Xenopus tropicalis: one gene and its partners. The protein of the gene in region 1 binds, or shares a complex with, the protein of each later gene. Links are inferred from orthologs where the notes say so. Each region holds a gene or a part of one and is shown in the gene's direction. Other genes may lie near its edges.

The links.
Region 2: the proteins of rab7a (region 1) and rubcn are in contact, whole or in part, in a crystal structure (PDB 6WCW), measured with the Homo sapiens proteins. The link is inferred for Xenopus tropicalis from reciprocal best matches to the Homo sapiens genes RAB7A and RUBCN. Residues at the interface, in NP_004628.4 of Homo sapiens: Ile41, Gly42, Ala43, Asp44, Trp62, Gln71, Ser72, Leu73, Gly74, Val75, Ala76, Phe77, Arg79, Ser101, Asp104, Glu105, Ile108, Gln109, Ser111; in NP_055502.1 of Homo sapiens: His818, Asn821, Met822, Lys824, Thr825, Arg827, Leu883, Gln885, Ala886, Lys887, Gly888, Phe889, Ile890, Glu892, Gln895, Glu897, Ile900, Pro903, Cys915, Lys916, Arg931, Arg934, Arg938.
Region 3: the proteins of rab7a (region 1) and rilp are in contact, whole or in part, in a crystal structure (PDB 1YHN), measured with the Homo sapiens proteins. The link is inferred for Xenopus tropicalis from reciprocal best matches to the Homo sapiens genes RAB7A and RILP. Residues at the interface, in NP_004628.4 of Homo sapiens: Ser3, Lys6, Leu8, Ile41, Gly42, Ala43, Asp44, Phe45, Leu46, Thr47, Thr58, Trp62, Ser72, Leu73, Val75, Leu182, Tyr183, Asn184, Glu185; in NP_113618.2 of Homo sapiens: Phe248, Glu249, Leu252, Gln253, Arg255, Asn256, Lys259, Ala260, Phe263, Leu264, Glu267, Glu268, Tyr271, Arg274, Glu275.

The regions. Positions count from the first base shown.
Region 1 is NC_030680.2:135,623,969-135,627,624, forward strand, and holds part of rab7a (ras-related protein Rab-7a), read left to right. Parts: intron 1-593; coding exon 594-812; intron 813-1,508; coding exon 1,509-1,637; intron 1,638-3,046; coding exon 3,047-3,142; 3' UTR 3,143-3,656.
Region 2 is NC_030681.2:101,932,125-101,935,780, forward strand, and holds part of rubcn (run domain Beclin-1-interacting and cysteine-rich domain-containing protein), read left to right. Parts: intron 1-358; coding exon 359-465; intron 466-1,771; coding exon 1,772-1,913; intron 1,914-3,656.
Region 3 is NC_030678.2:45,632,723-45,636,378, forward strand, and holds part of rilp (rab-interacting lysosomal protein), read left to right. Parts: intron 1-633; coding exon 634-757; intron 758-3,656. UniProt on the Homo sapiens protein: Rab effector playing a role in late endocytic transport to degradative compartments. Involved in the regulation of lysosomal morphology and distribution.

The DNA.
Region 1 (3,656 bases):
TATCCCTTACACTGGAACAGAGGCGGTCTTGGCACATTTCCCTCAAGCGGGAGGGGCAGTTTTTAAACCCAACCTGTAAATGAGAGTGCAATGAATGGTGCAAAGTGCACGATTCAGGACTAGAGTTATTACTCACTCTTACGGCTTTATTTCTGGTATCCATGGCAACACGTTCATTGTGACAAAAGCACATTAATCATTTTTTTCTCTGCTACTAAAATAACAAGTGTATTTGGCAGTTTATCTTGGGCGATATTAGGCACCATGGGGTGAAGCACTGTTCTAAAAGGTTAGTAATGAAGCCGGTGAAGGAACCAAACAAATGTGTGCAAAGGGATCCCCTAAACTGGGACACAACAACCTTTTATTGCCTTTGGCATTATCCTGTGGTACAGCTGTGCAGTAGGGTACAATAGGTGCATATGGGGTACAGCCCCCATTTTCATGTCAACAACTCCTCAGGGTATTTGCTTATGCCCCTGGGCCTCTATATCCTGCCACAAGTTTGGGTGCAATCTCTTTATTGTCTTCATTATATCTACTTGGTATAATCCAAGATATACTTCTATCTCTTTTTCTCTTTGGCTGTTTAGATATGGGACACAGCTGGACAAGAAAGGTTCCAATCCCTCGGGGTAGCTTTCTACCGAGGGGCCGACTGCTGCGTGCTGGTCTATGACGTCACTGCTCCCAACACTTTCAAGACTCTGGACAGTTGGCGAGACGAATTCCTCATTCAGGCGAGCCCAAGGGACCCTGAGAACTTTCCCTTTGTTGTGCTGGGAAATAAGGTAGACCTCGAGAACAGACAAGTAAGTACCTTCTTGATACTAACCCATTATATAGTGAATAATGTACCCCCCTTTTGTAAAATATAGGGATATTATAAGCCACCAAGGAGCTCCATGACCATAAAAAGGTACAAGGCCAAAGGCTGAGTACTTTTATACATGTGATGGAACTCGGAGGTGACTGCTAATATCCTCATATTTTACTTACAAGTTTCAGCGAGTGACGTGACAAATTACATCACTAAGCTACGATTAACTGATGACATCAATAAGCACCTTTTTATAAGGATATAGTTTACAGTTTGGTCCCGTAGGGAAATGAACAAACTGTATATTATATTCTGATATAGCTCAGGTTTTATAAATACATTTTGATAAATATAGAGAGTTCTAATTGTTCTCCCAAAGCAGTAACCTTTTATTGCTATATATTAGTGCATAGATATATTGCATGTATAGGCCCATCTAACACTGTTACACAACTGCACAACTACATTTCCCAGCTTCCCCAGCAGGAGCAATGAGTAGTGGATTTGCTACAGGGTAAGAGCCAATGGTTGCATATTCCTGTCAGCTCCTAATTAAACAGCTGCAGAGTATATTGGCACTTACAAATGCTTGATGGTAACAATGGATTGTTATGGTGTGTGCTTTCCCAGGCTTTCATTCCTGAGACTGATTCAGAATGGTATCCTTTCTGTCTTCCGCCCCATACAGGTAACCACAAAGCGAGCACAGGTGTGGTGCCATAGCAAAAACAACATCCCATATTTTGAAACCAGCGCAAAGGAAGCTATAAATGTGGAACAGGCTTTTCAAACGATTGCACGGAATGCACTTAAACAGGTAATGAAGTGGCTCCCTCTGCTGGTGAGTCAGTGGGGCTGTTGGGCTATTTTATATTGCATCTCTTCAAAGCTATGAAACAATCTAGAAAAAAAAATGGATAACCAACATTTTATCCTGCAGTCCCAGCAGCCACAGCTGAACTGTAAGTGGGGAAACTGGAGAACTATAGTTTGTTTATGGTGGGACACCCTCATTTCTGTTCTACGTCATTTTACACATTACCTCTTTCCATCACTGGTGATGTTGGCTTACGCACTATAATATATATATATATATATATATATATATATATATATATATATATATATATATATATATATATATATATATATATATATATATATATATATATATATATATATATATATATATATATATATGCCCCTATGTTTGAGGTTCTGTACCAGCCCAAGGCAACAACACAACCCTTTAGCAGGGAAGATCTGTAAATAATGCAGATTAAGTGCATGGTATTTCTCAAACCAGTGCAATTAGCATTAGAAATGAAAAAAAAGCCCTGTAGCAGCAGCTTCTATGAAGATAATCCCCATTTTCTGCTTGATAATTTGCCACAACCTCTAAGCTTAGCTTGTAACAAATCACATTCCAGTATGGTGACCTCCTGTAACAACTTTGAAGGCCTGAATATTTACTACTATATAGATAGACTAGATTAGGCTAGTTTAATATGTTCAGTATATAAAATATGGCCTTCCTAGCCTTATTCATGTTTAGGGTTTAGGTTTTTTTTTTTGTTTTTTTTTAAGCTCACACAGTATAGAGGCCCCTAATAGCCAATCACAGCCCTTATTTGGCTCCTCCATGAACTTTTATGGTGCTTGTGTTGCTCCCCAAGTCTTTTTACATTTGACTGTGGCTCACAAGTAAGAAAGGTTGGGGATCCTTGTCTTAGAGGAACAGAGAAGGTAAGTGGTGATTTGAAAGAGGCCAAAGCCCACATTACCTGGGTTTTTCCAGTTCATAAGACATCCCCCAGTGATCAAGTCATGGATTAAGATTCAAAATAGGCCCTGGTACACAGAGGCCCCCCCAGCCCAATAAATAGTGAGTGTCTATGGCATCTTACAGCAACCCCTCTGGCATTTGCATGGTGCACAGTACAGTAATGATAGAAGCTGGTACGTACTGTGCATGTGTTTGCCCAGGGTGATGCAGGGGGTCCTGGAAAGATGCAGCAGGATGGTACCCTGTGCTTATGCCTTATGGGCTTAAATTATAGTCACTTGGCTGTACTTTAATGGTGCGTAAAACACCCTGTATTTTACTTAGCCCTTAAATGCTGTGGAGCCTACAGAGCTGACATGGCATTACTGCTGCTAGCACTGTAGATTCCCCATGTGGAAATTGAAAACATGTTACTAACTGAGCCCGTTTTGTTCTGCCAGGAGACAGAGGTGGAGCTGTACAATGAATTCCCGGAACCCATCAAATTGGACAAAAATGACAGAGCAAAGGCCTCTGCCGAGAGCTGCAGCTGCTGAAAGCGAAGGGAGGGCGAAGCGGGAGTCCTTCACTAACCGATATCACACTTAGGCCTTCGAACACAAGACCCCTTCCCTCCCCGCCCACAGTGTAAAGGATAAATATTAATCATCTGCACCCTCTCCAGCTCCCAGACATCGATCCAAACGGATACTGACACCTGTATCATACGCAGAACACCATGGTTTTTCTCATCAGTTTTTTTTTGGGGGGGGGGACTATACGCCCGCGTGTTTTAACCCCTGTGTTACCAAGTGGCCTGCAGTAGTTTTGCGAGCCCCTGTGGGTGCAAAGTGGTTAACATTAAAAGCATACTGTTTGAACTTCTATTTTTTTGTGTCTTGTGGGGAGACCATTCTTTTTGTTTGGTTCATTTTACAGTCGTTGTGTATAATTAACCTATTACATGATCCGAAATAAACCATTTTAATTGTCCTGTGTCCCACTGAAGGCTCTAAGCAGAAAGGCTGCATATCCCATAATCCTTTGCAAGCTCAGCACCCAGTTTCACCC
Region 2 (3,656 bases), on another chromosome or scaffold:
ACTAATCTCCCCGTGTACCAGAGCCCTTAGGCTAAAGCCCCATGGAGAGATTAGTTGCCTGCGATAAATCTCTGCTGCCACGGGCGATCTATCTGAAATGCCTTTCCACTGGCAGCAAAGTGTGTTTTTCCTAAGTCTGGCAAAGTTTCCTCCTGTAGGCAACTTTGTGTAACTTTGGAAAAAGAAGCAACACATATGCCTTTCCATTGGCGATTTACTTTGTTGCCAGTGGAAAGGCATTTAGGAGAGATAAGTCGCCCGCGGTAGCAGAGATTTATCACAGGTGACTGATCCCTCCGTGGGGCATTAGCTTTATTAGCTATGTTTTTATATTTTCAAATGTATCTGTTTTCTCCAGAATCTGCCTTTTTACTGAGTGAGGCTCATGTTGCTGCAATGTTCCAGTGTCTTGAGGCCGTAGAACAGAATAATCCCAGGCTTTTGGCTCAGATTGACACATCTGTGGTAAGAAGATCAAGAAAACATGTGAACCTTGAACATGAAACATATCGCAGAACAGAAAGTGTTTTTACATGACTGTTGAATTCTTTTTATTTCTTATGTTACTGGGAACTGCTGAGTGCTAGAGGAATAGCTGTTTTCCTGTTTAGCACCTTTTAACTAAGTTTTTCTACTGCACCAGGGCTAGATCTGTCCTATTGTATGATCATTCTCTTTGAATTTTTAAGCCTCTAACTTTTTAAAAATCTTGTGCAAAAGGCATTATAACAGGATTGGTCATCTCTGCTGAGCCTGCTCACATAATAATTATTTAAGAAAAGAAAAAAACATGATTTTTCTATTCAGTTAATAACTAACATTTATTTCAGTTATACAAACTGATACGAGCAATATACATCCTGGTTTGGGAAACTAGATAGTAGTATAACGCCCACTAATCGGGTAAATGTACAGCTGGGTACCTGGACAAATACCATTTTGCATCACTACATAACCCCAGTGTATACAACTGAATTTGTTGTCTTCTTTTCTGTGGTAAGGGTGCAGACCTGTTTTTTGCACTCTGCCTCTTTTAAAGGCTACTTTTCAAAATCGGTTACCAAGTGTATCAATCTAGCTTACAATTTACATTAAAAATAGGTCTTCTCCTATTTCAAGTAAGGGACCAAGCAGAATATACCATAGTGTAATCCAATGTATCTTTGTTATTAATTTGCAGTTCAATCAATCACACTATCAGGTTTAGGGTATCCGAAAGTAAGGTTACCTGCAATTAAAACAGACTTAAAGAATCTGAGAATTTTTAAAGAAACACCCTACCTTTTGGGAAACCACCCTAAGCTACCCCTCAGGCTCAAACGCATACCAACAGTCCAACCATACTTTGCTGTGTCCTTCTGTCTTTCAGGCTGGGCTGGTGGCAATGTGATTCTCCAATAGGATGGAGTTATGTTAACATTAGGATCCTGCCTTGCCTTGCCCTGCCCAGCCCAGAGTGACAGACACAGCCAGCTCTCTTAGCCAAGCATATTCATGGTGTTGTGTGTCAGTAACAGTAAGAATTTCCAGTTTATAAGTCATGTTAAGGGGGAATCATGTCATTTAGAATAGAAATATTTCAAAAATATTTAGTCAGTTTTAACACTTTATTGCTGGCAAACTAGATTAGTATACTATAAATGCAATACCACATATGATTCACAGGATGGCCTTTTTTAACACATTTTGTGATGTCCTATAGTCTTACAGTTCTATATTAAATATAATTGTGCAACTGATCCCCAGTGACATATATTATTCTTCCCCACAGCTTGCTGGCAAGAGACAACTCAACATATCAGAAAAAAGTCTGAGCCTATCAACCCTGCCGGGATCAACCGGTATCCCATACACTGATAACACTCCGCATTCTCTGTACAGCTCCTATAGCAGTCTTCAGTCTTTTAGCTCTGGTAAGATTATGGGATTAGAAGAACTTTAATGTGTTAATAACAGTTATATATGTTAAAGGGGATGATAGATGCTTCTAAACTATGTTAGTAAGTAAAAGACTTTATTTGTCAAAATAAGTAAAATTGTCTTAAAAATGTACCTTGTGTACAAGACAATTGTAAAACCATCAAAAAATGCTTGCTTACCCTTATTGATGCAATGAAGCACCTATTGCTCTGCTGGTTATCTTAGCATGCTGCTGCTGTGTGGTGCACTCCCCTGCCTCCATTTGAGTCAGTGGGGATGAGTGGCTGTTGTTTAAGGTTTAATTGCCCTGCTTTCTGGTGCCAAGAGAGGTAAGTTGTTGCAGCTTGCACGTGGATTTCCTAGGGAGCAGGTACCCAATCTTCTGATGCAGGCGGTGGTTGGCCATTGCATTTCTTGTCCCATTTCTCACCCAGCTTTCTCTTTGTGTGCTGCTTTTCTCTTGTGGCAAGGGGCCTCCTGTCTGTGCAGATACATGGAACCATGGTGTGAGTTTGCAAGAAGGTTGTAAAACATCTTGGATGTGTCAAACATGGATGACATTCCTTTATTACTACATTTTACTGTGCTCATGTTTTGTTGTGTATGTTAGGGAAAATAAATCTATGGCAAGCATTGCTTTAAAAATTAAAGTTTGAGTAGGAGATACTGGGGCCGATTCACTAAAGTGCGATAAAACGTGCGCTATTTATAGCGTGCGTTAAAAATTTTATCGCGTCTTAATTTTCGCAACTTTTCGCACGATTCACTATAAGCATACTTGCGCTATTTTACGCGCGATATTGCATGCGTTATTTAACTCGCAAAGACTATTTCCATGCAGTATTTGCCGGTACATGCGCTAAATAACGCACCGCATATAAATAGTAGCTTAGAAATAGTGTATAAAAATTGTCGCCGCATATAAATAGTGTATATAAATTGTCGCCGCATATAAATGGTAGCATATAAATGGTAGCATATAAATAGTAGATGCTTATAAATAGTAGCCACTAGTGATGAGCAAATGTGTTCTGGTTATCTTTAGTGAAAAATTAGCAAATCTTTTGAAAGATCCACGAAACGGCAAAAATGTTGTGCGGGCAAAAAAATTGTTGCCCGTGACTAATATTTTTTGACGCCTGTGTCAATTTTTGGATGTGCGGTGAATTTTTGCGTGCCAAATTTTTTCATGCATTTTGCCATTGGCAGATTGTTTTGCGAAACGCATGAAAAAATTTGCCGCGGAAAAATTCGCTGCACGTCCAAAAACTCGCTGCGAATCCATGCCTGCCGAAACATTTCATCACTTGTAGCCGCATATAAATAGTCGTGCGAATAAACGCACGCCATGTTAGCCATACACGCCAATACTTGTGGAAAATTACTGTATTAAAAATGACCATTTCGCTGCAAACTGGCAGCTGCATAATCGCGCTAATTATCGCGTCTAATTTAACGAAAAAAAGTGTGCGATAAATTTTATCGCACTTTAGTGAATCAGCCCTACTGTATATTAAACAGGATTGCAAAAAAACAGAAACATTCTCTGATAACAGGTTTTATTTAGAAGTACATTTGGCATGTAATGTAGATTGGAACCTCTTGATGTCTTCATTCATTGTGAAACGATAATTTTCTTTATAAGGAAGCTGTAACATTTTTTTTCTACACAAGACCCCTACGTTCCTGTATATCAGTAAACGTTTGTATTAAAGGGGCAGTATACCCTCTTCTAC
Region 3 (3,656 bases), on another chromosome or scaffold:
AGTCAAATCTTTAGTGGGTTTCACAGAGAGTCTGTAGTCTTTGTTGCATAGTCTATCTATGTTTTTTTTAAATACAGAATTTAATGCTATTGGACTTTTTTTTTTTTTTTTTTAAACTTGTGGAATATAATACTGGTTATTTGGTATTAAAATGATTATATACAGAAAGGGAATTACATTTCTTAAATGGGTGGTTCACCTTTAGGTTAACTTTTAGAATGGTCAATTCTAAGCAACTTTTCATCTGGTCTTCATTATTTATTTTTTGGGGTTTTTAAATTATTTGCTGCCTTCTTCTGACTCTTTCCAACTTTCAAATGGGGGTTACTTTTCTATTCAGGTCCTCTCCTATTCATATACCAGTCTCTCATTCAAAACCTAGTTTGGACACTAGCAACCAGATAGATGCTGAAACTGCAAACTGGAGAAATGTAGATAATTAAACTATAAATTATAAAAAAAATGAAATGTCCGTTGGTACTGGAAATAATATATTGACACGCTGTATACTACCATCAATTCCCCTGCATTTGTGAGCTTGAATAAGTTTGTAGCCCTTAGTATATTCTGTTCCTGTGGGTGTAATAAATATAGTTCACAACAGTTCATCTTCACTGTACTCCCCCTGTGTAGGATCTCCAGGAGCAGCTGCTTGAAGCTCAGAAAAAGGAGCATGTTCTACAGAATCGGCTGTCCCAGCTCACAGAAGAGAACCAGGAACTTCTTGGTCAGTTGGCTGAGCGCAAATCAAAGGAAGGTAAAATGACCTTTATAAAAAATAAATAATGAAGACCAATTGAAAAGTAGCTTAGAATTGGCCGTTTTATAACATACCAAGATGAACCACCCATTTAATTCACACTCCAGACTAAATATTTGCTGTTTCACTTTATGTCCAATGGCAATGAGCCTGTACTGCCCTGTAGTTGAAAATGTCTCTGCTACTGACGCTATTTTTAGAAACCTATCTAAAATGCTTTAGTTAAATTATCCTTGTCATAAATAAAATACTCTAATATTCTTAGCATTATTTGCCCTGAAGCATGGAATCGTTTCCATGACATGCTTATGTAGAGTAAGGCAGATGAGAAGTTCTATCAGTAATCCTTTCTGCTGAGTGGCAGGCTTAAATTTACTAATATAGGTCATGTTGCAGCAGTGTTGTAAGCCATAGCAGCATATCGGCAATTACCTTGTCAGTCTAGTAAGTTTTGAATCATCGGTTGCTGTGTGTTACTGCACCTGTGTATATTTACACCTATAGATAGATGGAATATTCAACAAAAGCAAAATTTTTTTCCTATTTACGTATCTACTTCCTATTGTTAAATGGAACAGTACACAAAGTATTCTTTACTTTTAAAGGGTAAATAATTTCACGTAACAAAATGTGCATCCATACTGTTAAGCAAAATGACTTAATGTTCATAGTGGTTCTACTTTTGATGTATTATATCTCCTAACTCATTTTCACTTAACCATTATTGTACAGTGGCTTGCAAAAGTATTCGGCCCCCTTGAACTTTTCCACATTTTGTCACATTACAGCCACAAACATGAATCAATTTTATTGGAATTCCACGTGAAAGACCAATACAAAGTGGTGTACACGTGAGAAGTGGAACGAAAATCATACATGATTCCATGGGGTGTGCGTAATTATTCAGCCCCCTTTGGTCTGAGTGCAGTCAGTTGCCCATTGACATTGCCTGATGAGTGCTAATGACTAAGTAGAGTGCACCTGTGTGTAATCTAATGTCAGTACAAATACAGCTGCTCTGTGACGGCCTCAGAGGTTGTCTAAGAGAATATTGGGAGCAACAACACCATGAAGTCCAAAGAACACACCAGACAGGTCAGGGATAAAGTTATTGAGACATTTAAAGCAGGCTTAGGCTACAAAAAGATTTCCAAAGCCTTGAACATCCCACGGAGCACTGTTCAAGCGATCATTCAGAAATGGAGTATGGCACAACTGTAAACCTACCAAGACAAGGCCGTCCCCCTAAACTCACAGGCCGAACAAGGAGAGCGCTGATCAGAAATGCAGCCAAGAGGCCCATGGTGACTCTGAACGAGCTGCAGAGATCTACAGCTCAGGTGGGGGAATCTGTCCATAGGACAACTATTAGTCGTGCACTGCACAAAGTTGGCCTTTATGGAGTGGCAAGAAGAAAGCCATTGTTAACGGAAAACCATAAGAAGTCCCATTTGCAGTTTGCCACAAGCCGTGTGGGGGACACAGCAAACATGTGGAAGAAGGTGCTCTGGTCAGATGAGACCAAAATGGAACTTTTTGGGCAAAATGCAAAACGCTATGTGTGGCGGAAAACTAACACTGCACATCACTCTGAACACACCATCCCCACTGTCACATATGGGGGGGCAGCATCATGCTCTGGGGGTGCTTCTCTTCAGCAGGGACAGGGAAGCAGGTCAGAGTTGATGGGAAGATGGATGGAGCCAAATACAGGGCAATCTTGGAAGAAAACCTCTTGGAGTCTGCAAAAGACTTGAGACTGGGGCGGAGGTTCACCTTCCAGCAGGACAACGACCCTAAACATAAAGCCAGGGCAACAATGGAATGGTTTAAAACAAAACATATCCATGTGTTAGAATGGCCCAGTCAAAGTCCAGATCTAAATCCAATGGAGAATCTGTGGCAAGATCTGAAAACTGCTGTTCACAAACGCTGTCCATCTAATCTGACTGAGCTGGAGCTGTTTTGCAAAGAAGAATGGGCAAGGATTTCAGTCTCTAGATGTGCAAAGCTGGTAGAGACATACCCTAAAAGACTGGCAGCTGGAATTGCAGCAAAAGGTGGTTCTACAAAGTATTGACTCAGGGGGCTGAATAATTACGCACACCCCACTTTGCACTTACCGTATATACTCGAGTATAAGCCGAGTTTTTCAGTCCCAAAAATGGGCTGAAAAAGCCACCCTCGGCTTATACTCGAGTATATGGAATAGAAGAATTTGAAGATGCACCTTAATTGTCCGGCATTGGTTGCGCTCGCACATCCCCCAACCCCCCTGTCCGGCATCCGTTGCGCTCGCGAGACTGGCCTGTGTTTTGCTGCGTACGCTGGCCCCCCTATTCCCTTGCCTTGGCCTGTCAGCAGGAGCCTGTAGCCTGAATGATGGGCCGGCCAGCGCCCCCGGGGAGCAGCGCCCAGTGAGGCCTCTCAGCCCAAACAGTATTAAGAGCAGGCCGGATCCAAACCGCCTGCCCCTATCTCATGGCGTCCGACAGCGACACGGAGGAATTTTTGATGACAACCGATCCTGTTCTCCTGCGGTGTGAGTCGCGCCCTATTCAGTCTGACCTGAATCTGTTAAACACAATGAGCGGAACTGCGCGCTGACAGTTCCCCATTCTCGTACCTTTCTCTCCCCTCTTTATCGACTGCCTCTTCTTTCTGGCCCCATACTACAGCTCTGTTAGCTTGTGTTTTCTGCCTTCCTCTGCCTTCTTTATACACGCAACTCTCCCCTCACTGCACGGAGACATTTGTTTCTCTGTAAATTTTCAATTCCTTTTCACACTCTCTTGCTCCATGTATGTTTATCCTCCTGAAACCTTTATCCTCCAGTATTCTATGTTTTTCTGTACTCATTCGACTCTTGCATTTTATTATAATCGCGTTGCCCAGC